Mus musculus: one gene and its partners. The protein of the gene in region 3 interacts with the protein of the main gene of each other region in a pairwise test. Links are inferred from orthologs where the notes say so. Each region holds a gene or a part of one and is shown on either strand. Other genes may lie near its edges.

What was found.
Region 1: the proteins of Ube2k (region 3) and Trim39 interact in binary tests that used the Homo sapiens proteins (3 or more experiments, as listed by UniProt). The link is inferred for Mus musculus from reciprocal best matches to the Homo sapiens genes UBE2K and TRIM39.
Region 2: the proteins of Ube2k (region 3) and Trim31 interact in binary tests that used the Homo sapiens proteins (3 or more experiments, as listed by UniProt). The link is inferred for Mus musculus from reciprocal best matches to the Homo sapiens genes UBE2K and TRIM31.
Region 4: the proteins of Ube2k (region 3) and Rnf41 interact in binary tests that used the Homo sapiens proteins (3 or more experiments, as listed by UniProt). The link is inferred for Mus musculus from reciprocal best matches to the Homo sapiens genes UBE2K and RNF41.
Region 5: the proteins of Ube2k (region 3) and Mid1 interact in binary tests that used the Homo sapiens proteins (3 or more experiments, as listed by UniProt). The link is inferred for Mus musculus from reciprocal best matches to the Homo sapiens genes UBE2K and MID1.
Region 6: the proteins of Ube2k (region 3) and Marchf3 interact in binary tests that used the Homo sapiens proteins (3 or more experiments, as listed by UniProt). The link is inferred for Mus musculus from reciprocal best matches to the Homo sapiens genes UBE2K and MARCHF3.
Region 7: the proteins of Ube2k (region 3) and Mipol1 interact in binary tests that used the Homo sapiens proteins (3 or more experiments, as listed by UniProt). The two-hybrid records come from large-scale screens. The link is inferred for Mus musculus from reciprocal best matches to the Homo sapiens genes UBE2K and MIPOL1.

What each region holds. Positions count from the first base shown.
Region 1 is NC_000083.6:36,268,634-36,272,804, forward strand, and holds the start of Trim39 (E3 ubiquitin-protein ligase TRIM39), read right to left. Parts: upstream 2,801-4,171; 5' UTR 2,704-2,800; intron 2,145-2,703; exon of another isoform or gene 434-2,144; 5' UTR 429-433; coding exon 1-428.
Region 2 is NC_000083.6:36,896,930-36,900,929, reverse strand, and holds the start of Trim31 (E3 ubiquitin-protein ligase TRIM31), read right to left. Parts: upstream 2,801-4,000; 5' UTR 2,577-2,800; coding exon 2,163-2,576; intron 1,039-2,162; coding exon 943-1,038; intron 1-942.
Region 3 is NC_000071.6:65,589,245-65,592,744, reverse strand, and holds part of Ube2k (ubiquitin-conjugating enzyme E2 K), read right to left. Parts: intron 870-3,500; coding exon 770-869; intron 1-769. UniProt on the Homo sapiens protein: Accepts ubiquitin from the E1 complex and catalyzes its covalent attachment to other proteins. In vitro, in the presence or in the absence of BRCA1-BARD1 E3 ubiquitin-protein ligase complex, catalyzes the synthesis of 'Lys-48'-linked polyubiquitin chains.
Region 4 is NC_000076.6:128,410,179-128,414,415, reverse strand, and holds the start of Rnf41 (E3 ubiquitin-protein ligase NRDP1), read right to left. Parts: upstream 2,801-4,237; 5' UTR 2,591-2,800; intron 1-2,590. UniProt on the Homo sapiens protein: Acts as E3 ubiquitin-protein ligase and regulates the degradation of target proteins. Polyubiquitinates MYD88. Negatively regulates MYD88-dependent production of pro-inflammatory cytokines.
Region 5 is NC_000086.7:169,987,619-169,991,298, reverse strand, and holds the end of Mid1 (E3 ubiquitin-protein ligase Midline-1), read right to left. Parts: coding exon 3,533-3,680; intron 2,437-3,532; coding exon 2,088-2,436; 3' UTR 501-2,087; downstream 1-500. UniProt on the Homo sapiens protein: Has E3 ubiquitin ligase activity towards IGBP1, promoting its monoubiquitination, which results in deprotection of the catalytic subunit of protein phosphatase PP2A, and its subsequent degradation by polyubiquitination.
Region 6 is NC_000084.6:56,922,716-56,926,941, reverse strand, and holds the start of Marchf3 (E3 ubiquitin-protein ligase MARCHF3), read left to right. Parts: upstream 1-1,426; 5' UTR 1,427-1,635; intron 1,636-4,226. UniProt on the Homo sapiens protein: E3 ubiquitin-protein ligase which may be involved in endosomal trafficking. E3 ubiquitin ligases accept ubiquitin from an E2 ubiquitin-conjugating enzyme in the form of a thioester and then directly transfer the ubiquitin to targeted substrates.
Region 7 is NC_000078.6:57,228,925-57,233,224, reverse strand, and holds the start of Mipol1 (mirror-image polydactyly gene 1 protein homolog), read right to left. Parts: upstream 2,801-4,300; 5' UTR 2,614-2,800; intron 1-2,613.

The DNA of each region.
Region 1 (4,171 bases), on a different chromosome or scaffold from region 3:
ATCGGCACGACGGTGTGGGGCCGGTGGGTATGAGAAATTGCACATATCAGACAGACAGCCTCCTGGTCTTCATAGCAGAAAAGGCTAAGAGGTTCGTGGTGCTGGGAGCAGAGGCTTTCATCTCTGATCTTCCGCTTGACCGTCTGGAGCTGCTTGGCGATTTCCACCATACTGCCTAGCTGTCGGTTAGGCCGGAGACTCCGGTATCGGGATGTCTTCCGACAGACAGGGCAAGGGAAGTCCCGCTCTAGGTCTTCCCACCAGCGGGTAATGCACGCTTTGCAGAAGTTGTGCCCACATTCAATAATAACTGGCTCCTTCAGATACTCTAGGCATACAGAACAGCTTGCTTCCACCTGCAGGTTCTCCAGAGCAGCGGCTGTGGAGGCTGCAGAGGTTCCAGCCTCTAACAGACTTGTCTCTGCCATTATAACTTGGAGGCAGGGAGAGAGGAAAGAAGTGTTAGTTGGAGGGTTATTTTGTTTCCTGACATTAGCTCCCAGTAAGCCATAGGTCTAGATGAAGCCCCATCTTGGTATTCTCCCATTTCCACCTTTTCATCTGTTGGTCTATTTACAGTGTGTGTGACCTCTCCCCATCACTGTTATTATTATTTTATTATTATTTTGAGTCAGCAAATATCAGCAGTGCCCAGAATTTCTTTACCTCTGCTTTTTCAATACCAGCAATGAAAAGGAGCCTGATATGGCGACTGAAACCCATTTCCCTAGCCATTTTTGAGGTCAAGGTAGGGGGACTGTCATTAGCTGAAGGCCAACGTAGGCTACACAATGAGTTCTAGGTTAGCTTGAATTACACAGATCTTATTTCTACAGGGAGGGAACCATGGGAAATGAGATATGTCACATAAGCCAAAGTATTAAGATTTTAGCTGGGCATGGTGGCTCACTGTGAGGCAGGAGGATCAATACAAGAATAAGGCTAGCCTGGGCTGTAGAGTAAGATTTGTAAAACAAATAATATATCTACATATCTATTAAAACTGACTATCAGCCCTAGAACTCATTACTACTTTAAAGAACTTCATATATAATTACTGCATCGATTTCAAAGAACCCCAAGCTACTTCTTCTAACGTCATAGGAAGTTTATTGTTTTAGAGTCTAGCCTTGATTGTCTGCTGTTCCTCTTAATGAGTTACACTACAGTAACACACTGTTTCAGGGAAAGCATGACATGGTTCTTCCTTTCCCCAAACTAGCCCAAAGGAAGAACGCTCTCTTCTTGAAGATGCTCCTGTCACTCACCGCATTTCTATTTGTGTGCAGCTGGGATGGCTGCAAAGCAACAAATACATATCAGCTCTAAGGAAGCACCATTGAGTGCATTGAGGGCAGCAGCTTCTTGGAGAGAGAGCTGGCAAGTACATTCTAAACATTCAGTGGTGACTGCAGTCTTTCAACGTCACTACTGATAACTAACTCCTTAGATAGTCAGTGATTAGGAAGGAAATTAGCCAGGTATGGTTAATACTAGGTAGGTAGCGCATGTACCGAGGAGGCAAAGGCAGGAGCCTCAGGAACTCGAGGCCAGCCTAAATTAAATATAACCAATAAATAGTTATTGGTCTCAATAAATGAATAAGTGTATGGAAAGAGACAACCAAAGCTCTCCATTCTTAAGATGTCAATACATAAGTAAGCTAATTTATCTGGTCCCATAACCCCCTACTTTCCTTCTGTCCCAAAAGGGGCCCCCCAAAAAGGAAGGAAATTTGATAGGTCTACCCATCGACAGAAAAGTGCCCATGTAATGAATTGGGGCAACAATGATTATTTCTGTATACTGGTGGTACAAATGGAAGGATTTTAAGTAGGAGTTGGTAACTTATCCTCTTTTAATGGAGAAAAGAATTGATCCAGATAAGTACAGTTGGATGATTTCTTTCTTCTCTGCCCATTAGAATCCAGTTTTGACTAGTGACTTAGCCTCCTCCTCCTCAATCCTACAGATAAGTGGCATCCTCACCTAAAACTGAACCATATTCACACTTGAGAGACCTGCATGTATCTAATTAGCAAATAGATGGTATGAGAGAGAAACGGGCTCAAGGATAGTGAAGAACGGAGAGGATTTGGAGCTGGGGGTGGTGTGGTGGTGGTGTAGAGGGCAGCCATAATATGGCCTTGTGCTCCTCTGGCTTGATCCTTCCTCCCACTCTCCATTACTCGATCTCAGTGTAAGTAATCGCGTCAGAGACGTCCACGTTTTGCCTTTAATCACTATTGGGTACCACCTCAGGAGCCTCTTTCAAGCACTGGCCACAACTCTGTCCCACCCGTTCTCCATCTTCTCCAGCCATATCGGGAGCATGAGGACCAGAGTGAGGGAGCATACGTCGTGCTTGGCAGGGAGGAACGGATGCGTGTCTAAGTGAGGGAGAGGTGTGACGTGAAGGTGGGATGCCCGCTGCCATGTCGCAGCCCAGACCCGCGATGACTGCGTCAGTTTCACCCGGGGAGACCAAAGGCAGCGGGACAGGGGAACGGCGGGGTAGCCAAGCAACGCCGGACGCGCTGACGTCGCCGGGGCGGCAAACGTCCTCCGGGCCCGAGGCGGGCGGAGGCAGCTGTGGTTGCGCGCCGGCCGGCTGACGTACTCGCCGGGCGTAGGGCCGCGGCGAGAGGAGCCCGCTCGCTGGAGCCGGCTGCGGGACCCTTGTGGCGGCGGCGCAGCACCTACCTTCCCGGCTCCGGGTCCCGGAGTGCCGGGCGCGGAGCCGCCGGAGCACTGCCTCCCTCCTTCCTCCTCCCCTCACCCCCGCCCCGCGGCGCGACACACAATACTCGCCGGAAGCGGAAGCCGCGCTGCGGCGATGGAAGACAGCTGCGCGGCGCCGAGCCGCCGTGCCAGGGCCTAGTCGGGCCCGCGGCGGGTGGCGGGCGGAGAGCCGGAGGCGAGGGCCTGCGCGGCTAGTTTACCGGGCGAGAGGGAACCCGCCGCTTCCCGTGGCTGAGGTGCTGGCGCCCAGGTGACCAGAGCGGTCCCCCGGAGACTGAGGGCCGCGCATGCGCGTGGCGAGACGCCGAACCCCATGGCGGGCAGCGCGCCGTGGCTGGGCTGGCAGAGCTGCGCGGTCAGCGAGCCCGCAGAGGCTCAAGCTGGTCCTCGGTGGGGCTGGGAACCGCAGAGGCCTGGGCGGCTACGGGTTGTGGGCGTTGGGCCACACTTTCCCGGTCTCCGGGTCAATTCTGGGGGAGGGTTGCTGTTTAAGGCGGCGGTGTATTACGTGGCCGACCTGAGAGTCTATGCTGGCACGTCACTTCCGACTGGCTGAGGTTTGGCAATTTAACCGGCAAGCTGTAGTAGGTGAGTTATCTTGGCTGCAGACCGAGGTGCGTCTTTTCCCCTCCTCCGGTTGGGTGATGTATTAGCCAGGGGTTCTCTAGAGCTACAGAACCTAGTGAATGTTTCTCTCTCTATAATTAATCGTGATGACTTACAGGCTAACCCAACAATGGGCAGCTGTGGATGGGAAGTCCAAGAATCTAGTAGTTGCGCAGTCCCACGTGGCTAGTTCTTTCAGCTGGTCTTCTGTAGAAGTAGGTTCCGACAGATGTGCTGGCAAGTAAGTGCAAGCCCGTGAAGAAGAGAATCTTCCTTCTTCCTATGTCCTTATGTAGACTTCCAGCAGAAGGCGTGGCCCAGATTAAGGTGTGCACCACCTTGTTTGGATTTGGGACTTGCTTTCTCCCGGGCTGACTTTGAACTCAGAGAACTCCTTGCCCCAGTCTGGGATTGAAGTCGTGTACTGCCTTGCCTGGTCCTAAACTTAATGGCCACTGTACCTCAAGATCTCCATGTCAAGATCCAGGTCAGAAACTTGTGTCTTCCAGCCTCAAGATCTGGATCACAGGTGAGCCCTCCAATTCTGGGTTGTAATTCCTTCCAGATAGTCAAGTTGACCACCAGGAGTAGCCACCACAGCTGACATTAGCGAAACGCTTTCCCTGGCTGGAGCTGGAGTGTAGAAAACCGGTCTAGTTCGGTGCTTTGCTGCCCCTGCATCTAGGATGCCAGGAGGACCAAATCCTGTGCTCAGGAAACACTGGGTGGGAACCAAAGCCTGCTTCTTTCTCTTTGAAGACCTTGCTTAAGTTTCTCTGGGAGAGCAGATGGAGCTTATGGATAGACTCCAGACTTGCACATT
Region 2 (4,000 bases), on a different chromosome or scaffold from region 3:
GCAAAAGACTCAGATTCAATTCCCATAACCCACAAAGTATCTTATGCCCTCTTCTGGTCTCTACCGGTAGGTACCAGGCATTTATCTGGTATACATATTTTATGTTAGCAAAGCATTCATTCATAAACAATAGATCTATAAATAAATAAATAAATAAATACATAAATAAATACATAAATAAATAAATAAATAAATAAAAGATTGTCTTAAATGTCAATGGGAGAAAACCACAAACAAATGAATGAAAGAAAGATAAAGAAAGAAGGCTTTTCAGCTTAACTGCCTTCATAACTGAATTTTCCGTGGATGTAACAAAAACCAGCCAGCCAAGTCAACAGCATCTGGGAGATGGTGATGGCATTCCCAGGGGGCAGGGTCAGCATTTGGGATGTAAACCAACCAACAAACGAATAAAATAATGCTTTCAACTCTTCCAGAATTCCGTTCCTAGCATCTGTGTAGGGCAGCTCACAAGTGCCTGTAATCCCAGTTCGTCTGGTCTTTTCCAGTATTCACACGAATGGCTTTTACTCATATGCAGACACATACATATACACACATATAAAAATAACAAAAATAAAACTTTTTTTAAAACATGCAAACAAAATGAGGTGGAGATGTTCAATGGCGTCATAGTCTCTGTCGTTTCTTACTGTGGGAGTCTCTAGTTAGAAAGGGCTTGGGTGAGCCAGTGTGTGGGTGTTCTCTACACAGCCTGCTGTGGGTGGAGGAGCAGAAGACCTGGCACAGCATTCAGGCAGTAGTTAGCACAGCTAGGGAGCTTGGCTCGGGAGCACGGCTCAGGCACCATACACCCTCTGCCCTGCCCCTCACCACCACGTCAGCAGGATTTTATTCCTGCTTGCTGTATAAAGGAAGGCTAGGAGCTTCATCAGCAATGCCTCAGTTTCCCCAGAAGTGTTTGGAATGAGCATTTCTTACCCTGAACGCCCAGATTGCCCCTTCACCTTGTTTTTTCTCTTCAATTATTTTCTTGTCCTTTTGCCCCAAATCTTGGGCCTGTGACTCAATCTGCACCTGTAAGGAGAGGGTGCTTCAGCCAGGCTCTGACTCTTGAGAGGCAGGGAAGATGTTCCAGGGTACTGATGTCATTATTAGCAGTCCTCCCTGGCCCCCATCTCTCGATAGGAACAAGGAGGTGATGGAAAGAAATGGAACTTTAGTGACTTGAGAAAATACTACTAATGATCATTTGGATGGCGCTTTGGTATTCTCAGGGGAAGACTTCTCCTCATCCGTCCTATCACATTCTTTAAGAGATAGGTTTCATCTGCCTCACAGAGAGGCAGGGCCAGGACCAACCAGGGGATGGAGCTCTGTGGTAGAAGAGCACTGGCTTATCTGGATGTCTCAGGCTCTGCTTTGTAAGTTAGCAGTGGCTGGACTTGAATGAGACCTTCTGAGTTAAAATTTGCACTTAACAAAGAGCACACATGAGCTGGCCCATAGTCCCCACTACATATGTATCAAAGAACCACCGTGTCTGGCCTCAGTGGAAGGGGATGCGTTTGGTCTTATGGAGGCTTGATACCCCAGAGATGGGGGATGCTAGAGGGGTGAAGTGGGAATGGGTAGGGGGCATTACCCTCTTAAAGGCAAAAAGAAAGGGTGGGATAGGGTGGAAAGATCATGGAGGGGAACCAGAAAGGGTAATGTTTGAAATGTAAATAAAAAAAATAATTAATAAAAAATTATGTTTAAAAATTAGTACATTATTAATTGTGTGTGCAAGTTCAGCAGAGTGCTATGGTGTGTGTGTGTGTGTGTGTGTGTGTGTGTGTGTGTGTGTCTGTGTTTATGTGTATGAAGACAACTTTCAAGGGTGAGTTCTCTCCTTTTATTTTGCATGTCCCAGGGATCAAACCAATTTTCTCCTTCTACTATGTGGGTCCTTATGGTCAAGACAGGCACTTTTACCCTCTGGGTCATTTCGCCTGCCCCTAGAGTACTATTCTGATTCTTCGTCTTGCTTTGGTTACAGACTGGCATTTTCTAGAACTCAATTCTTTGAGCCCACTGGACCTGGCTATAAATGGCCAACTCAAGTACAAAGAGTACAGCAATGGGTGTCAATCAACTGGGGCCTCCCCAGTGAACTCTACTCTGCTGGGCTGGGGGCAGAGAAGGGCCCAGGTGCCTACCTTGTAGTTCTGGGCAGCCTCATCTATCAAGGTGACATTGTGAGACTTGTGGTCCTTGGAGTCACGACACACCACACAGAGGAATGCCCCATCCTGCTCGCAGAAGTAATGTAGCTTTTCCTTGTGCCTCTGACATCTTGAGTCTTCCTTTTCTGCTTGGATGTCAGCAGGATCCATACTTTGGATCTTCTCTGCAAGACTAGCCAGCAGCTTATTGGGCCTGAACGTATTCTTATTCACAGAGAGTTTGCAGAGAGGACATTGGATCTTTTCTGACGTTTTTCCAACCTGACTGATACACTGCAGGCAGAAGTTGTGCCCACAGTCAATGGTGACAGGATCTTGTAGAATTTCCATGCAGATGGGGCAGGTCACCTCCTCCTGCAGTTGGCAGGCCAGAGGTTGGCCTGCCATGATGGAACAGCAGGGCTAATCTGAGATGTGAAAGTACAGAAATCCAAGGCCTGGTGCTTGTAAGAGAGAAGGAAGCAGGAGGCAGAGGTTGAAGAGTATCTCAGGGAGAGGATTAGAGGAGAATGAGGGAAGGGGGGGTTAAATAAATAATGACAGAAAAGAGTCAGCGATAAATGGGGAATATTCTAAAGAGAAGAAAACAGATGGTCAGTCCTCTCTCCCTGTCTCTCAAGAACAGAAACCGAGAGTGCCTGCTGCCTATAAAGTAGAGCAAGACTTCCTGGACCTTGAACTAATTAAACATATCTTTCTGAAGCAGATTCAGAGAACAGAAAGACGAAGTGACAAAGTCCACTCAGGTGTAATTGGGGAGTGGAACTGATCGCTGGCAGCCCCAGGAAGGCTTGTTACCACCCCAGCAGATCTCTCACTCCCAGACCCTGCCTTCTGTTGGGTATTCCTTCCTGTCTCTGGTACCCCAGCATCTTTGAGTCATCCTTTGTTCTGTTTGGCCTGTCTGTTACTTCCTCTGTCTCTGTACTTCTCAGATTCCCCACCTACCCACACACACACACATCAGCTTGCCTGACCTGTGGACTTTAGCTTGACAAGGAAAGTATCAGCCAGGGTCACCGACATTTCCATTAGTAGCTCAACACTTCTTAACCCTTCCTCTTGCTCTTTTGTGCCCAGGAAGACGGTGCTCCCTCCTTCCTCCCTCTCCATCCCCACTAACCTCTCCTCTCTTCTGTTCTGTCATTAAAACCCAAACTGTTAATTTTTAAATAAAAATGTTTTAGATTTGTGTATTTTAATTTTACTCACATGAAAGTTTTGCCTGCACACACACACGCACACACACACACACAGAGTTAGTATTAATTGTATGCAAATGGTATGGGACCACCCACTGGAGCATAGGCCACTACAATGCCACAACCCCAGAAACTATCAATTGCCAATAGCTCCTCAGTGTGAGGTGGGGCCATATGAACCCTTTCCTATTTAGGTTGGAAAGTTGACTGGCCTGGTCTTATACAGGCAACCAATGTGTTCATAGGGCAAGGCCATTGGCAGGTCACACAGGGTGTGGAGGATTTTATGGCTATAGCCCCAACAATAGTTCCTTGTCATTTGCCAGGGACAGTCTTGGCTTTACCTTTGTCCCCTCATAAATGTCAACAGCCCTTCCTTTCATTCTCAAAAGTATCCACTCATATTATAGAGGTTACTTTGATTACAGCAACTACTGAAAGCTGAACACTTTCAGAAATACTACACCTACACTTCTCAGCCTTTTGGCTAAGATCAAGTGTAGAAATACCAGACCTCAGGCCTGTCTATTTCATTCACTTTAAGGTTGAATTAAAGCAAATATTTTTGTAAGGTTTTATAACTTGCATTCATACTCAGCTGTCAGATCT
Region 3 (3,500 bases):
GCCTACATGTACGTCTGTGTGAAGGTGTCCAGAAACTGAACTTACAGACTGTCATGAGCTAAAATGTGGGTGATAGAGAACTGAACCTGGGTCCTTTGGAAGAGCAGCTAATGCCCATAAGTGCTGAGTCATCTCTTCAGCTAAAGGGAACCCATTTTATAAGCACATTTTTAAAAATCTGAAGGTTGGCTGATAAATGCTTCCTTAAAGAGGAAGCAAGGAAAACAGAACACAATGACATAAACACGACTATAATTTTAAAAACTCTTGAAATCAAAGAATATCACAAAAGAGTTAAGTGTACAAGGAGAACTTAAGTCACACAGAACCTCTGCAATGTACATATCTGGACATAAGTGATAATGGAGTTCCTAACAGGTATTTGTTTATTCTTTATTTGTTATTTGTTTATTATGACATGATTTTATTATTATTTTTAAAGATTTATTTATTTTATATGAGTACACTGCAGTTGTCTTCAGACAGCCCTGAAAAGGGCCTCAGGTCCCATTATAGATGGTTGTGAGCCACCATGTGGTTGCTGGGAATTGAACTCAAGACCTCTGGAAGAGTTCAGAGTTAAGAGCAGTCTTAACCACTGAGCTATCTCTCTAGCCTGTAACATGATTTTATTATATGTGACAAAATTATTTTATTAAAAGAAACCATTTCCAAATTTAGTACAACATAGAATGTTAATATGCTAATATGAAATATTTAAAACTACACACACAGGTCTAAGAAAGTCTTTCAAAAGCTACTTTCTTACCTGATTCGCTACTACTGCATCTTGGGGGTCATCTGGTTCTGCAGCCGCCAACAGCGCTTGCAATGACAATAATACCGTGCGCAGAGTCATTGCTGCTGCCCTAAATTTCAAATTAGGAAAATATCACCGTTAAAAGGACTTTGAATGACATAAGCAAAGTCTGTTTTCTGAATGGAAACAAAAATACGCTAGAACTAAAAATTGTATAGTTAACTAACGTGTACCAATTACCAATTTTCTATTCTTCCAATGAGTCAATTTCTAAGATTATTCAAGTCACCTCACCCTCACCTTGCTGTTTTCTCTGCTTGTTCCATTTACTTACTTTGTAAGCTTTATCTTAATTAACATTCTTCTTAGATATTATGTGTGAGTTTCTGTCTCCATGTATGAATGGTGCTAAATGTCTGGTGCCCATGAAGGTCAAAACTGGAGTTCGAGATGCCTGAGTCACTGTATGGATGCTGGGAACTGAGGTCAAGCACTCTTTAAGAACACAGGCTCGCTCTTTCTTTTTCTTTTTTCTTTTTCTTTTTTTTTCTGAGACAGAGTTTCTCTGTATATCCCTGGCTGTCCTGGAACTCACTCTGTAGACCAGGCTGGCCTCGAACTCAGAAATCCGCCTGCCTTTGCCTCCCAAGTGCTGGGATTAAAGGCGTGCGCCACCAGTGTCCCGCTAGAACACATGCTCTTAACCACTAAGCAAGTTCTCCAACCACTTACCCATATTTCATTATAAAGTGATAATTTAAGTTACCAATACTAATAAACTGGAATTTTAAACAGACTTTTAAATGTCTAAATCATGCCTGCATAAGTGAACTTGAGTACAGGTGCTTGGAGAGGATAAAAGCAGTCCATCCTCTGCTGATGGAGTGGGTACCAAGGACTCCCCTGGGATCACTGCAGAGCAAGCAGCCCATGCCCTCAACCACAGTTAAGTCACTACAACTCTTTAATGGCATGCTAAGTAAAACACGGAGATAAAGATCAATCCATAGTATTCCAAAATAGGACAATTTTCTATTTAAAATATTACACTTGAGGTTGGAGAGATGGCTCACATTATATGCGTGTACTATTCTTGCAAAGGGCCTGTGTTTGCGTCCCAGCCCCCATTGCTGGCTTGCTGGCAAATGACCTAAAACTGCCGCTCCACGGGACTTACTGCTTCTGGCCTCTGGAGGAACCCACATAAACTATATACCCACACCAATACACAGACACAATTAGGAATAAAATTCAATCTCATAATTTAAGTCATGATCCTAATTATATTTATACCAAAAGCCCTTGTCTTTATGAAATAATTATTTGTTTAAAGTTTGCTTCACTAATCCTGAAATGTTTAGAATGTTGACAGGGCAATGATGGCACATGACATCTGGAAGGCAGAGGAACATGGATCTCTGTAAGTTCAAGACCAGCCTGGTCTCCAAAGCTAGTTCCAGGACAGACAGGGCTACACAAAGAAATCCTGTCTCAAGAAAATCTCAGAGCAAACTCTTCTAGAGGAATTTGACTGTCATCCTAAGTGAGGGCCTTGTAAAGTCAAGCACACTACACTATAGCTTTATCTCTAACCACAGTAAGTTCACTTTTTAACCACACAGACGGTTATTCTAAACCAGCCTTGTCTGGTTGAGTTCCTAATTCCTAAAATCAAACAACAAAAATTCCTAGTGACTATTTTCAGTTTCCTTGAATAATACACAAGAGACAACCCTAGATGTTCAGGCAAAAAGAAGAAAGAAAAGAGAAGAGAAGAGAAGAGAAGAGAAGAGAAGAGAAGAGAAGAGAAGAGAAGAGAAGAGAAGAGAAGAGAAGAGAAGAGAAGAGAAGAGAAGAGAAGAGAGAAAAGAAAAGGGAAAGGGAAAGGGAAAGGAAAAGAAAAGAAAAGAAAAGAAAAGAAAAGAAAAGAAAAGAAAAGAAAAGAAAAAAAGGAAGGAAGAAGGGAGGGAGGAGGGCGGGTGAGAGGGGGGGGAGGGAGAGAGAGAGAGAGAGAACACGAAGGAACTCAACTTTCTGGATGCAGCATATGTTAATGCAGTAAATGTCAGTAAATATTCTTCCTCTTACTAGTGGCATGAGTAGGTCTAGGGACTTGGTTTTGGGGACAGAGTCTACTATGTCATCTTAAGACAGATGAAAAACAGGACCCTCCTGTCTCTTCCTCCCAAGTGCAGGAACTTCAGGACTGTATTACTCATGCTCATTTGAGGACCTCACCTAAGACCTGCTCTATAAGAAGTTAGGAGTGGGGCTGGAGAGATGGATCAGTGGTTAAGAGCTCCGACTGCTCTTCCAAAGGTCCCGAGTTCAAATCCCAGCAACCACATGGTGGCTCACAACCATCCGTAATGAGATCTGACTCCCTCTTCTGGTGTGTCTGAAGACAGCTATAGTGTACTTACATATAATAATAAATAAATAAGTCTTTAAAAAAAAAAGTTAGGAGTGTTTGAGCAAATGGGCCAATGAAAATAACCAAAGACAGTATTTGTAGAACCCTGCTCTTTATATGCTAATTGGCAAGAGCTGTTCACACACAATGTAGGTCTATATTTTATATATTAAAATACCCACTATACACTAGTCTCTAAAATGATCTTAGGAAAGTCAGACATGGTAGCAAGCTCTATAATCCTAGCACTTGGGAGATGTAGGCAGGAGGTCTAGTTCACCCTAATATAAAGGAAGGCTCTGTCTAATATAAGGGCAGAGAAGAAAA
Region 4 (4,237 bases), on a different chromosome or scaffold from region 3:
ACATATATACTTCTTTATTCAGCACATATAACTACAAGCAATGCCAAAAATCCCACATCAGTGGCTATACAGAATACAAATCCATAGCGCTTGCCCTGTACAGTCCTTTAATGTTTCTGGAGTGACTTTACTTATATGATATCATGTAAAAACTATTCTAGAGGCCAGGGAGGACAGTCCATGCCTGCATTCCCAGCACTCAGTAGGTGAAATAGGAGAATTTGAGTTCAAGGCCAGCTCAGGCTACGTAGCAAGTTCCAAACTTTGTCTCAAACAAACCCAAAACTGGCCTGGGGATGCAGCTCGGCTTACAAAGCACTGGGACTCAGTCCCTGGCTCTGTACTTGAGAGAGCATGCCTATAGTGCCAGGGCTGGAAAAAGTCAGAAGACAGTGAGAAAGCAGGGCTTTAGATCATTCCCGGCAGGGATGTAAGCCTGGAGTACTCAGATCCCCAAACATCCAGACTCTCACAAGGGAAATGTTTTCTCACACAGAGAATACTCAGTAATGTCGCTATAGGTGTAAACTGAAACACCCCTGAAGGGATAAGGCTTTAAAAAAAGACAAAGGGGTGGGGACTGAGAGAGCGGGTTTACTCATAAACAGGAAGAACGAAGGCAGGTACGGTAGCTCATGCCTGCAATCCCAACACCCAGGAGGCTGAGACAGGAAGATCACTGTGAACTCGGTCAGGAGAGGCTACCAGGCAGGACCTTTTCTCAATTGGGAAGGAGGAAGAAAGCAGAGATAGTGTTGTTCTAGGTAGGCAACTTGGTCGACCAGGAAGCAAAAAAAAACCAGGTTGACCAGGCTCATGCCTGAAAAGATGGGACTGAGGGCTATTCCAGGGCCCTGAGAATCGGAGTCAATGAGACACAGCATGACTAATTAAACTCCCCGGCTCGTTATCCTGTGTGTATCAATAGTGAAAGGGCTAAGTTAGGAGAGTACCTGATGATCTTTCATGCAGAACACAAAGGCTACTGGGTCTCCTGAATTGGGTACATGTGCTCCTAGTTCAGTGTGTCTTCTCAGTGAATGAGAGAGATGTAAAGCCCAGAATTTTTCTTCACTGTGGTCCAGAGAGGAGAGAGTTGATGTTCCTCCCCACCCCACATAACACGGGAGGAGGAATGCTTCCTTCCTTTGAACAACACTTCATTTCCCAACCATCTGGCACATGCACCTGTACCTCAGGAAAAAAAAAAAAAAAAAAAAAAAGCTTCCAGGAACAGGTACTATATTGGCTGTGCTTGGTCTCCTAGGGACAAGAAATTCCAAACACAGAAACCAAAAAGCCTCCTGTAATGGGAAAATTAACCCTTAGGAAAACAGACCAGGAGTTGTAAGACAAGCATTGAATCAGGAGAGAGGGGGAAGGAGGGTGGGCTTGGATTCCAGTCCTAGCTCTGCCATCCACTGACAGGACAGCTTCAAACAAGCCGTGTAGCCAACTGTCAAACAGATATGACACTTGCATTTTCTAACCTATTGTCCTGCAAATCAAATGAGATAAACTCTGAGTGCACGTGTAAGACTGCTGTATTACTTGTTGCAACAGAATGGCAAAATAAACTCACAGTGAGAACCAGAGGAAATGCTTGAAAATGCTTGTTCCTTCTTTTCAATCACTGGGAAGTAGGCCCTGCCACAAGGTTTACTGAAGACACTGCATAACAAATGCACCCCTCACCCTCCCTTGGCACTATCCAATCCCACTCTTTCTTGGGGGAACACTAGTAGCCACCCATCCTGCTACAGTAGTTAAAACTACTGTATAAGAAGTAGCTGCCAAGATTCTCATAGGTCAATCTCCCAAGAACAGTGGCCTTGGTAACCATCACATTTGCTACCAGTTGAAATGAAGTTTCATGAAATGAAGTTAGTGTACCAATCCAAAACACCCTCATCCTGCTTTTTCAGGTCTTTCTCCTGCCCCTACTCCCACCCCCCCTCACTCTCTACCCCACAAATGCCCTGCCTCCTGGACTGGGGTGGGCTTTCCAGTGTATTAAACGAGTGGATGGATCGTGCGTATCAGAGAGCGGGGCTGCAAATCATTCAGGGTCAAAGATGTAAGGAATGTAAGAGTCCTCCACGGAGAGGCGGGAGGGGAGAGAAGCGGCGAAGGAATAAAAGAGAAAGACAAGGCTGCCAAAGACAAGGCATGGGAAAGAAGCCAAGCTATGGCGCTTGGAGGGCGGAGGTTTGGGTTCCGCGGTCCCTGCCAAGGCTAGCCCCCAGAACGTTCCCTTCGCCTCCAGGCCTGTCAATCATTGCCATTTAAACTCCATGTTGTCCCTCAGCCCCAGCAATCAGCTCCTCCCGGGTCCTCAGGCTGGCCCAAGGCCACTCCCGCACTTCCCGAGGCTCTCCCTACTCCAGAGGATCTTCCAAAGCTCCAGAGCCCCCAGCTAGCTCACCTCCCGACTCCTCCCAGCTGAGCTCCCTTCCTCCATTTTCCTCCTCCTCTCCACCCTTCCTCCCTACCCCCAGCACTTCGGACCCAGGCACCAATCCACAGGGACCTCGCCCCCTCTCCCCCCCAACCCCCCAGGGTTAGAAGCTCGCCCAGGCGCATTACGCACCACCCGGAACGCAGCCTGGTTTCTCCGGACGCGGGGCCTGGCTGCAGCTGAGGACACGGCGGCCGCGTAGCACACTGTGTGCCCGGTCTCAGCCTTTCCCCGTAGGGGAAGGGGAAGGTAAGGATGGGGAAGAAGGTTCCGACCACTCCTCGCTGTCTCGGGTTAGCCCTTAGCCACGCCCACTGCTGCTACGCAACGGGGCGGAAGCTCGTCACCAAGCCCCGCCTCTCTATTTAACTCGGCGGCGCCTGGATGCTCCTTGCGAGCGGCCTATGAGAGGCGGGGGCTAGCTGGGCCTCCGCTCTGGGCCGGAAGTTCTTAGGACGGACAGTGTAGCCTTTTGGGAGGGAGGGCTCTATGTGCTTCAGGTGTGAAGCTCCGGGGCGACCCTGGGTGTCCCGCCTTGCAGAGTTACTTGGTGCTGGGTGGTGCACGGCTCGGGTGCCAGACCTGGTGCAGCGCTGGGACGAGGTCGCCGCGGGGCAGCTGGTCTGCAGCGTGGCCTGCTGTCCTCCCAGCCCTTCAGTTTCCAGAGCTGTGGTCAGCATCCCGGAGCCTCCCGACCTGTGACTCACAGTCATGGGGATGGATGCTGCTGTTAACTTAGGAGGCCGCAGGATGGAGAGGGAGGGAGTGTCTCACCGCAAAGCTTTGATCTAGGGTGCTGCAGGGGTCGTCCACCTCCCAGCCACACACTCTTGTAGTATTCCTGATGGCTCTTCAAAAACTCAGACCGCCCGAAACATTAATGGATTTGATTTCCTAAGGCTGCAACACTGTGGTTAGGGGAAATGGGTGGGAGAGAACCCGAGGAGAGTCGTGGTGGAGTTTAAAGCGCTCTGTGTTAGGTAAGCGGGGAAGCAAGACAAGGAATGCAATTACATTACCTCTTAGGCTAATCTGGTGTCAAATAGTATTTGTTGTAGATACTCTCTTTTTTAAAGGGCAATTCACATTAGTACATATGTAACTAGCTTATTCGTGAGAATACAGAGCTAGCTGCTTCCTTTGAAGACAATATGACGAGTACCAGAGGAAACTTAAGCTTCTAGGTGTCTCTGAGATACAATAAAATAAGGAAACAGGAATCGGATGTGCCTTTGTGAACCAAGTCAAACTTGCTTCCCTCCCCTCCCTCTCCCCTAGTCAGGGTTTCTCTTTGTTGCCCTGGCTGTCCTGGAATTCACTATGTAGGATAGGCTGGCCTTAAACTCAAGAGATCCGCCTACCTCTTGCCTCCCCAGTGTCCACCTGGCTTGAGGCTTGCTTTTTATGTTCCGGGTTCAACGTCTTTCAAAGGAGAGTGAATCTGCGTATTATCTTTCTATGGCGAAAATGCTGCTTGTCCCAGAGCCCTGAGCCGAACCGTTCGGTACATTAAAGATGATGTGTAAGCTCCTGCCATGTCCAAGGTACTGGCTTTTAACTAACTTTCCATTTTCATGTGTAAAATGGGCAGTGGTGGCGCACGCCTTTATCCCAGTACTTGGGAGGCAGAGGCAGGTGGATTTTTAAGTTGGAGGCCAGGCTGGTCTACAGAGTGAGTTCCAGGACAGCCAGGGCTACACAGAGAAACCCTGTCTCAAACTCCTTCCCTCCGCCCCCCGCAAAAAAAAAAAAAAGAATTGCCGAGAAAACAAGCAAAGA
Region 5 (3,680 bases), on a different chromosome or scaffold from region 3:
CCCCGCCTGCCTGTCAGTCACCGAGGCTCCCTGGCTCCGCCCACCCGGAATCCCCCAGGCAGCCGGGCCAACTGCCACCCTGTGGGAGTGGGGGAGAGGTCAGGGGATGACGCTGAGTGACTGTGGGAGGCAGCGCATGACTGTGAGTGATTTTCTGAGGCAGGGAGATGACTGTGTCTGAGTCTCTGAGGCAGGGGGATGATGCTGATTGAATGTGTGAGGCAGGGGCCTGAAAATGAGGCAGGGGATTAAGCTGAGTGAATGTAGGATGCAGGGGTTTAAGTGTGAGTGCGTTTCTGAGGCAGGGGGATGACTGTGAGTGACTGTGGGAGGCAGCGCATGACTGTGATTGATTTTCTGAGGCAGGGAGATGACTGTGTCTGAGTCTCTGAGGCAGGGGGATGATGCTGATTGAATGTGTGAGGCAGGGGCCTGAAAATGAGGCAGGGGATGAAGCTGAGTGAATGTCGGAATGACAGCATAAGAAAAATATAAAAATATTTCCACGTCGCTGCTTCTCCTTTATTCTCCCCCCCCACCCCCCCCCCCCGCGCACACCACCGACATCGGACCCGGATGACAAAACGAATCCCCACCCTCCCGACCCCGACCCCTAACCCCAGCCCAACGATGTGATAAAAACAGAAACGATGGCTGACATGGGATGTTTGGCCCGGGGTTCACCCACACGCAAACAGCAGGCGAGTGACATAAAAAAATAATCATGTTGGGGAAAAACCCATGTGTTTGTTTTCCCTTGTGGTGGTGACATCCAACCTGGGCGGGTGACCCCCAAGCACCGGCCCGACCCAGGGGGGTCAGGCCACAGAAGAACAAGTGCAACGTGTGAAAAAACTGTGCCTACGGTTCACACATACGCAAACAGCGACGAGCAGTCAATGACAGTCTAAGAAAACTATAAAAAAGAATTTCCGTGTCGCCGGTCACGACCGCCGCATTCTCCTCTGTCACCACCGGGTGGCGACAGAGAGCACGCCGGGAAAAACCTCCGCTCCGGGAGTCCTCCCAGGGGTCGGAGTCTGCGAGGGGAAAGCGACGAGGAGGGGACAGACGCCCGAGATCGACTCCAGATGAGGCCAGATGTCTTCCGGGGTGGCAGAATCGAGAACGTGACGAGAAGCGCTGTTTTCCAAACGTTTCTCTTGCTGGCGTCGTCGTCGTCGAGACGTTCTCACAAATTTTCAGAGGAAAATGAAACATTTTCCACCGAGGTGTCCGTGTTTAAGATGTGAAGTCGTTTTAAGTCGCTATCAAAATATTCATCTGGGTATCAATGATACAGTCACAGCTGAAATGTCTCCACTCACATCGGAGTGAGGAAGCCCGCGGGCTTCCTTATTAGGCTCAAGACGGCTTCTGCTTTAGCCGTCTATCCGGTTCTTCTAAGCGGTCGTGCCCAGCCTGGCCTCAGTATGGAATAGAATTTTCTGAAGCAGGGGGATGACCCTGAGTGACCGTGTGAGACAGGGGGATGACTGTGAGTGATTTTCTGAGGCAGGGGGATGACCCTGAGTGACCGTGTGAGGCAGGGGGATGACTGTGAGTGATTTTCTGAGGCAGGGGGATGACTGTGAGTGATTTTCTGAGGCGGGGGGATGACTGTGAATGATTTTCTGAGGCAGGGGGATGACCCTGAGTGACCGTGTGAGGCAGGGGGATGACCCTGAGTGACCGTGTGAGACAGGGGGATGACTGTGAGTGATTTTCTGAGGCAGGGGGTGACTGTGAGTGATTTTATGATGCTGGGGGATGAGTATGAGTGATTTTCTGAGGCAGTGGGATGACTGTGAGTGATTTTCTGAGGCAGAAGGATGACTGTGAGTGATTTTCTGAAGCGGGGGTGATCACTGTGAATGATTTTCTGAGGCAGGGGGATGATTGTGAGTGATTTTCTGAGGCAGGGGGATGACCCTGAGTGACCGTGTGAGGCAGGGGGATGACTGTGAGTGATTTTCTGGACAGATTGGGGAAGATGTCACGACGCTCTGGAAGCCTGAGTTTCTCGACCCCATAAACAGCGGCCTCCACCTGTGTCCCTCCCCGGGGCCGCTGTGGGGCCGGGTCCCTCAAGGTCGCTGCTCCGTACAGTCCAGATGGTCCGGGATGGGCAGACCCGTGACGATGGTCAGACACTTGTTCCACACGGTGAAGGTGGGGCACACGGGCTGCGCGAGCGCCGCGTGGAAGGTGTGGAGGTGGACGGAGCTCAGAGCGTCGTAGAAGGCGATGGAGCCGTTGTCGTAGTCCAGCAGGACGCCGACGCGCCTGAGGTGAGGGGCCGGCGCGATGGGGGTCTCCTTGCCGTCGTGTCGCACCGCCCAGTGGTTGTGGCAGCGGCAGAGGGCCCAGGACGCCGCGTTCTTCCCGATCCACTCGTGTTTCGGCGCCGATCTGTACGCCAGGCCGATGGCGTACCTGCCGAGAAAAAAAAGAAAATCACATCGCCTGTCGGTGAGATTTGCTCGTGGTCCACAGGTGTTTTCTTTTTAAAGTGATCCTTTATTGGCGATCACACTCCCTTTAAGTCTTTACGTCTAAATATGTCTGTCTGTCCTTCCTAAACACATTAGAGGTGGACGGCGGCCGGTGTGTCGACCGACCTTCTGGTCTGCAGCTTAAGTGTCACCAGAGAATCTCGATTTTCCATTCCTTCACTGCCCCGTTTCTCTCCTGTGCATGCCCGTGCAGACGGGTGGACAGACAGACAGACAGAGGGACGGACAGATAGACAAAAGATGGACAGACAGATGGACAGAAGAGCAGACAGACTGATGGACAGAAACAGACAGAGAGAAGGGCAGACAGGTAGACGGATGGGCAGACAGACAGACAGAGGGACGGACAGATAGACAAAAGATGGACAGACAGATGGACAGAAGAGCAGACAGACTGATGGCCAGAAACAGACAGAGAGAAGGGCAGACAGGTAGACGGATGGACAGACAGACAGACAGAGGGACGGACAGATAGACAAAAGATGGACAGACAGATGGACAGAAGAGCAGACAGACCGATGGACAGAAACAGACAGAGAGAAGGGCAGACAGGTAGACGGATGGACAGACAGACAGACAGAGGGACGGACAGATAGACAAAAGATGGACAGACAGATGGACAGAAGAGCAGACAGACTGATGGACAGAAACAGACAGAGAGAAGGGCAGACAGGCAGACGGGCGGACAGACAGACAGACAGAGGGACGGACAGATAGACAAAAGATGGAGAGACAGATGGACAGAAGAGCAGACAGACTGATGGACAGAAACAGACAGAGAGAAGGGCAGACAGGCAGACGGGCGGACAGACAGACAGACAGACAGAGGGATGGACAGATAGACAAAAGATGGACAGACAGATGGACAGAAGAGCAGACAGACTGATGGACAGAAACAGACAGAGAGAAGGGCAGACAGGTAGACGGATGGACAGACAGAGGACAGGTGGACAGATGGACAGAAGACAGATGGACACACAGGGACAGACAGACGGATCCAGACGGAGACGGCCTACCATGTGCTTCCGCTGGTGACCACTTCCCAGTAGTGACGGCCGCTGTCGATGAACACGTTGCCAGCCACTCCGTAGCTCCCCTGACCAGCGAAGCGCTCCGGCGCGTGACTCTTCTTAGAGGACGACTCGTCGCGCTCGACAGTCAGGT
Region 6 (4,226 bases), on a different chromosome or scaffold from region 3:
GAATAGTCAGTCACCTGTACTAAATGGCTACATAATCCCTTAGAGTTTCTCAGAACTGAGACAGTGATCTGAAGTGTTTGGGTTAGAAGCAAGAGTATGGAGGTGGGGGACACGTGATTGGCAGACCATTAGCAAGTTTGGTCCCTTTCTTGTCCTGTTGTGCATTCCTTTTAACTTGAGTTGGATGCACAAGTACAGGTCTAAGCACTGATTGGATCTACCCAGTCCAAGAAGATAGTCTAAGACATGCTCATATTCTAAGCCTTAGACAGCAATACTCAAATATCTGCTTTTGACTCTCCATTCCCTTCAATCTCTCTCTGTCTGTCTCTCTGTCTGTCTCTCTCTGTCTCTCTGTCTCTGTCTCTGTCTCTGTCTCTCTCTCTCTCTCTCTCTCTCTGTGTGTGTGTGTGTGTGTGTGTGTGTGTGTGTGTGTTTGATCTTAAAACCTGGCCAAAAATACCATTCAGGCCAGACCTAAAGGCTCCCAGTGCACTCCCTATTACCAACTATGGGCAGCTTCACACCATCAGCCTAATCAAGGTTTTCCAAAGGGTAAAGTGGGGAATGCAGAGTCCGATGGATGTGGCTTGCTTGCACTGCTGCGGTTTTCTGTCCAAGAAGACTGGATGGTTTGGCTTCTCGATATTCCTGGAGGAGCCAGCAGACAGCAGCAGAACCCATTGTGGAGAATAGGAAATGCATGGGGCGCCTTTGGGCATGGGAAGAACCAGGCTTTTGTTAAAATGTCCCTGGCGGTGTGGAAGGAAAAGGAGAGTCTTGCTTTGTACTTTCCCAGAGGTTGGCTGAGCCAGAGTCCTTGTTTCGGAGACAACCGCCAGAACGAGCTTAGAACCGAACCGTCTCCAGTGTAGCTGGACCTGTGAGACTCAGTCTGTTTGAGTACTCAGAGTCCTCCCATGACTAGGGCGCCTTTAGGGCTAAGTTCCTTGCCTCCTGTTGGTGTCAGATGTGAGGGTTGTTTTCCCGCAGCGTGCCCATTCGCGATGGTTCTGGGAACTCCTACGGTCTGTCAGCAAGAGCCTTCCCTGGCCGCAGCCTCGTTCCCGGGGCGTTCGGGTCACACAGCATCAGACCATGCAGGAGCCTCCCCAGACGACGCCGTCGCCACCACCACTACACTTACCACCACCACCGCACTTCACAACTGCCAACTTGCGGGCAGCTAGAGCGTCTCCGGGCCAACGCTCAGCCGCAAGCGATTGGACATTGAGTGAGGGGCGGGACTACGCTCTAGGCACCTCCTACGGCCTCCAAGGATCCTGGTGCCCTGACGATTGGCTATGGCCTCCGCCAGTCAAACACTAGTAGACGCCCCGCCTTACAGGGGCTGGCCCGAGGCTGGCCCCGCCCCAGGGCTCCGCCCCCTTCGGAGCCTAGTCAGCGCTGCGCTGTGTTCCGCCTCATTCGCTGAGCGGGTCCGTGGTTTGCCAGCGCGCTCTGGGCGACTGCTGAGCCAGGCGACCGCCGAGCTTGCGGCGATCCCCGTCAGGTGCCCCGCAGAGCCAATGCGCCCAGGTGCGGCGGGGCAAGAGCAGCCGGCGGTTCCGGGCAACTTGGGACTGAGGATCTGCTGCAGGGGCGTGGATTTGGCGTCTCTACTGGGCCAGGAGGGTGAGTAGCCGCGCCGTGAAAGCGGCTCCTCCGCGCCGGGTTGCCAGCGAGCCGAAGACCGCGTCGGTGCTGGCGGGTGGGAGCGTGGCGGCTGTGGAAGGGCAAGGCAAGGCAGGAGACACTTACTCTCTGTCAGCGTCCCGGCTCCCGAACTTCTGGTTTTCAAAGCATCCCAACTCGGCCCAGGACATGCCTGTGCGTCGGAACCGACTTGGCGTTGGTGGTTGCCACCCTTAGGTCCCAGACGCGCCCCTGCCCCTCTGCGGCGGCGACACGGGCGCGCGGGGACACCTCGGTGCGCACACAGCAGTTCCTAGATGGCTTGAGAGTGGTTCCTAAACATTAACCGGCGCCCGAGCCGGCGTGCGCAGCGAGCGCTGGTCGCGTTCCGACTGAGAACTGGAGGGACCCGCTGGGGACAGTAGCAGGCCTCTTTCGTACTCTGCAGATCCAAAGAAAATGACAGCGGTGCTGAACATTAAACTTTGGGAAGTAATTGCTTCCTGTCAGCCTTTGAATGTGCGCCCCTCTTCCCGGGTTGCTCAGACCTCCGCATCTGCTACAAGGTGTGTCTGAGGAACTTGGTTAGGACCAGCAGGGAGCGTAGAGGCCAACACCAGGCTGGGTGTCCCCCAGCCTGTTTTGGTGGTGTTCATTAAAACACCTGCGTGTTTTACGTGATGAAGTTGTGGCAAGAACTGACAACTGAGGATTCAAGGTTAGACCTGACACTTTGTTGCTAAGCTCAGGTTACACTGTCCCCCGTTTCCTCTTGTAGTAAATGCAGCTTGATTTTTTTTTCTGAGTGCAGTTGCATGCAGCTTATATTCTGTGTGGACTAAATAGAATTCAGTGCAATATTGCCTTGCAATTCTTATTTGATTTGAATGAGAGCTTATTAAGAAGACTATGGAGAGTTGGCTCTGGTGTTGGGAATAGTTCTGTCTTTTATAATACATAAAACGTTGAGTTATGTCATATATGGATGTACAAGTGCATATATCTGAATCTATGTGCAGGATTGATAGGGGGCTGAGGTAGAAATATATAAAGAATTAACTCAGCCTTGAACTTCCTCTCGCTTATAGAGATGAACGCGCTTAGCTATAAGGTATATATTGTCCTGTATGTGTAAGCATGTCTGACTCTTGTCTGGTCTGTCTGAGTCAGTATATGTCCGTAAACTTTACGAGCACTCAGTTCAATACCACTCAGTACAGATTCCGCGTTCCTGTTTTACAGCCCAGCCGCCGCCAGCCAGCCCATCTGTTAAAACATAGCATGTACACTTCAGCCAGAACACTGGGGTGGATAGTGGGTAGGGGGCAATCCTTAGGAAAACAACACGCTACAAACAAAGCCTTTCGCTTGACTTCTATTTTCAGCTATTATTTGGCCAGAACTTACAGCTTTAATGAGGGTGAAGCAGGGAATGGTGTCTCTTAGAACAGGGGGGAGTATTTTCTGATATAATTGTAGCCATAATTTAGGAGGGGGAATTATAGAAGAAGAAAAAAATCCCCTGAGAAGAACTGTGGTTGTTACCTCGACAGCAAGGTTGGTTGGCAGTAACATGTATATCACAAACTGTTGTCTTTTGCTTCAGAGGATGTACTAAAAATAAATTGTTTTGAACACACACACACAGTTTAATAAAAGTAAATAGAACTTTACTGCCAAGGCTGAAGTTAAGATTGCCTTACTAATCCTAATGAAACATGCCTTTAGGAATTGATACCCTGGAAATCAGTTCATATTTGGCCTAATCACTAGTAACAATGGTTCACAATGTGTAGCTTAAAAAATAATAAAAAGGCTTTATCATAAAAATTCTGATGACTAAAAAAGTATGGGAGGAGTATTATTATAACAGCTTGTTAAGTTCCTGCTGGCAAGTGACTGATACTTAAAAAAGCTATAAATTCCTTTAATGGTATAGTTACTTTTAGTGACAATAGGGACAGCACCTTCATGAAGCACAGTTGATCTTTTTCACAGTCATTTTATGTTCTTGATTACAGTTTAATAGTGGTGTTCATTATAAACTGGAGTGGTTTTAAGAATCCATCACAAGTGTTTTTGTTTTTATGTTACATAAAATTTGGATGAAATACGTAAATCCCTAATATATATGTCTAAATGTATGAAGGGCTATACAGATCCTCCTGGCTTCACATGAATCCTCCAAATAAACTGAATAGCCCCATGGGAATTCTGTTCTTGTCCTAGAATTACTTCTGGGGCCTAGGGTAGCTTAGGAATCTGCATTTTCAAGCACTCAAGACGTGTTCTGATACGAGGGACTTGAACTTGAACATCAAGAAGTACTGGAATGGTGTTTAGGAAATAAAATAACATGATCTATGAGTTGACACAATTGATTATTCAGAAATTCCAGGTGGTATTTACTGGCCTTATAAAATTGATAGTTTAACTCTCTCAGCAAAGGCCTCTTTGCCCTGTGCCTGTAATCTTCAGTCATTCCTATTCTGAATTGGCCCCAATTTTAAGGAAGTCTAGATGGAGAAGCAAGATAATAAATACCTCACCTCAGTCTTGGGTCTCTGCTGTCTGTTTCTGTACCAGAGATG
Region 7 (4,300 bases), on a different chromosome or scaffold from region 3:
ACATATGTATGTATGTGTGCATATGTGTGTGTATATATGTATATGTGGATGGCTGGGTGGGTGTGTATCCAGGGAGAAATAGTCTTCATTATTACAAAAGGAGTTTTAACATGTAGCAAATTGTCAGCACTTATTACTACTAAAACACATTAGATATACAAATTGTTATTAGAGATTTGAGCAACAGCATTAATAAGGCACATATAAAACAATCCATCCACTGACAAATCCATATCACTTGTGCAGATATATTTTATAAACAGCTACAAACAGATTAGTAAGAAGTTTTAGTGATTATTCATTTGAATAAGGAATTAAAAAGTCCATGTTTTATATACTTCTTTCTATATGAATTATTTCACAATAAAGATTTTAAAAGTTATTATCAAGTTTTTTTCTATTTTTCAAAGTTCATTCCACAAGATAAAATACAAAGAAGGATTTTGAGCTCTTTGCCTTGTTGCCCTGGATGGCGATGGATGCTGACCCTCCACTATGTTTGTTTTTGGTCATGGTAGTCTTCAAAATCCTCAAGATAAAATACAAAGAAGCCCTGTGGGGTGGTGCCCTCATTTAATCCCAGCACTTGGGAGGCAGAGGCAGGATAATTTCCCTGAGTTCAAGTTCAGCTTGGTCTACATAGCAACTTCTCAAACAGCCAGACTCAAAAGAGAATGTCTTAAGAAAAAGACGGAGACAGATGTTGGTATGTTTAAAGAAGAAACAAGAAGAATATTCAAGATTATAAACTACAGTAAACTGAACCCTGTTATAGTCTAGTTATTTCTAAACTGTACACATATTACACATAATGAAAGCAATCTCAATGTACATACACAAATCTAATGCAGTACTTTAAATTTATACTATATCACATACCTATATATATATTAAAATTAAATTTCAAGACATAATTATACTTCATGAAAATGCAATAAATTGTACACAGGACTTAAGCATGGTTTTGTATGTTTATTAAGCTTTCAAACTTATCACACAAAGATTTTTATTTTATACTGTCTTTGAAGAATAATGTACATGTCCTATTCATATTTGTTTTGCCATTATTACTTTTATCTAGTGAAATAATTCATATTATCTCACTTTTACAAACTTTGCCTCCATTAAATAAATATATTGCTTGGGCTGTAGAGATGGCTCAGTGGTTAAACGCACTGACTCTTCCAGAAGTCCTGAGTTCAATTCCTAACAACTACATGGTAGCTCACAACCATTTGTAATAGGATCTGATGCCCTCTTATGGTGTGTCTAAAGAGAGCAACAGTTTATTCACATACATAAATCTTTAAAGTATATACATATATATATTGCTATATTATTTTCATAGGATTGGATCTAGGTTGGTTTCTTTCAATTTGACAAGACTACCATGACCAAAAACAAACATAGTGGAGGGTCAGCATCCATCGCCATCCAGGGCAACAAGGCAAAGAGCTCAAGGCTGGAACCTGGAAACAGGAACTGAAGCAGAGACCAGGGAGTAACCTTGCTTACTGGCTTGCTCTCCATAGCATGCTTGGTTTGCTTCCTTAACAACTGCGGTCCAACCTGCCTGGGGCTGAAAAAACCCAGTGATCTGGGCCCTCTCATATCAATCATTAATCAAGAAAATGTTCCCAATCTGATGGAGGCAATTCCTCCTTTAACTACCCTCCTCTCAAGTCACTCTAGTTTGAGGCACATTGAGGTACGGGATGATAGCCTATGTAATGATTATGTAACTAACTGTCCTTTGATGTGAGGTTCATTCCAGATGGCAATACGAAACTTTGCAAAGTGAGGTAACTCGTGAGACAGGTTAAAACTGTCCTTCTTTAGCTGTCTACCACCATCGGGAATTAACGGACATCAAAACGCTCAAGGAGCCCTTCCAAAGGCCTATTCTCTTAGAAACCTAGTCTATTCTTCTATCTTGTAGTGTCCAACTTCAAGTACTTCACCAATACCACTGGGTGGTGTCATCCTCCAGTTAGAAAAGCCAGCTCTTGGCCGGGCGATGGTGGCGCACACCTTTAATCCCAGCACTCGGGAGGCAGAGGCAGGCGGATTTCTGAGTTCGAGGCCAGCCTGGTCTACAAAGTGAGCTCCAGGACAGCCAGGGCTATACAAAGAAACCCTGTCTCGAAAAAAAAACCAAAAAGAAAAAGAAAAAAAAGAAAAGCCAAATCTTGAATGTAGTGAAGGCAGAGTTTGCAGCTGCATCTTACTAATGTAGGCGCCGGGCATACTGAACTACACTGGGGTTTTTGCTCGCACTTTGAAGGGTGAGAACTGTGAATCGCTCAAGTGTCCCGCAAAAGCACAGAGTGGATCCGCGGTCCCGCCAGGACTGAAACCCTAACTCGTCAAAGCTTAGAGGAAAAACAGCCCACACTTCCGAGTCATTGTTCGTCCCTTCTTAACTTTTGAAAGACTATGACGCCATGAGGCCGAAACCTGGAGAAGGAGCGGTGTTGTCACCTGAGGACGCCGCGACGCGGGCCACGCAGCGCTCCTGCACCTCCAGGGGCCGCGGCCGGAAGTCCCGGGCGGGCTGCAGGCCACCCTGAGGTTCTCCCCCCTCCCCCAGCCGCTCCCGGTCCACGCCGTTACCTGAGGAGCCGCGGGATCCTTAAGCGCCCACTCCGCTCGCGTAGTTGCCCGGTCCTGTGGCGCCGCCACCGAGGCAGCCAATCGTCGCGCGAAACGCTGCGCGTGCCCCTGAGTAACCAAAAAGAGCAGAGCGGGCGAGAGGAAGCGCGCGAGAGCACGCGGGGACGAGGCTGCGCGCAGCGAGCATGCGCGAGTCCGCTGGCTGCCGCGGGGCGGGGCGGGACGGGGCGGGGCTTCCGGCGAGCTGGAGGGCTCAAGGATGGTTCCGGGCTGCTGGAAAGGAAGGCGACCTCGAGGTCGCGTTCTGTGGGAGGAGCTGACAACCAGTGCGCGCTAACTGGGGAAATGTGTGGTTCTCGGGCTCATCCCATGGAGTATCTTCACTGGGCAGTGGTTTCCTTCTGTGCGCAGTGCTTTGCGGGGACAGAAGGAAAGGTCCTGCGAAGTGAGCCAGAGTGAGACTTAGACATCGGCCAATGGTTTCAGAAAAGCTTTAAGGCTGGTGACATTTTGACTTCAGGACTAGAAAGGGTGTACTCAGAATGTTCAATCGCAGAACTTAAAAGAAAGGGCTGAACGCCAGGGATATTTTTAAAGCGAAGTATAGGAGTAATGTGGAATTCTATTAGATGATATAGCTGATAATATTCGAATATTTTTCTCCTTTTAAAGAAAGAGAAGTAGTGTCCCTATGCTGCCCTATCTAATCTAGAACTCCTGCACCCCACCCTAGCCACTGATGCTCTGGTAATTTAGTGTTGAGCTATTGAAGTCACTCTAACTTATCTATTTATTGAGGGCATACTACATGCCAAGTAGTCTTCTGGATGCTGGGGTAACAGTAATAATAGTAATTTTTTACACCCACAGCAGAAAATTATATTTATTTTCTGAATTAATAGACAAAGTTCGTGAAAGACTTTATTTTGGCTTATAGCAATACGAGATCCGTGTCCACCATGCTAATAAAGGCAGGATGGCAAAGTGGCTAGCCATCCAGTCAAAAAACAAGAGAATAGAAAATGGAGCTGGGCTCTATAACCAAAAAGCAGTGACCCATTTCCTCTAGCAAAGGTTCACCTTTCAGAAGTGCCACATACTCCACAAAGTAGGTGACAGGAGGAATGAAGCATGGAAAAAAAGGATGAGATGACCAGATGGAAATTATTTGGAATAAATAGAGCATAATACTAAAAAGAAAAAGTTTCATTATTTATGTAACTAATGACTAGTACTAGTGACTTGTGACAGATTCAGGCTTTAAATGCATTTTTAAATTTTATTTATTACTTTACATTAGTCGGAGTTGAATCATATTTTTATGTAAACAAACCACCACTAAAAAAATATGATTATGGTGGTACACATCTGTAATTCTGAACCTTTGAAGAGTGAACGTGAATTCCAGGACAGCCTGGGATACATAGCAAAAGTTTCCAAAAAAGAGGCCACACTAACTTCTAAACAATGAGCCCTAGCAGGGCAGTGGTGGCACACACCTTTAATCCAGCACTTGGGAGGCAGAGGCAGGCGGATTTCTGGGCTCAAGGCCAGCCTGGTCTACAAAGTGAGTTCCAGGACAGCCAGGGCTACAGAGAAACTGTCTCAAAAAAACAAAAAAGAAAAAAATGAGCCCCCATAAAATGAAAAATTGTGTACTTTCAGTATACAGTAGTGTTCCAGAGAT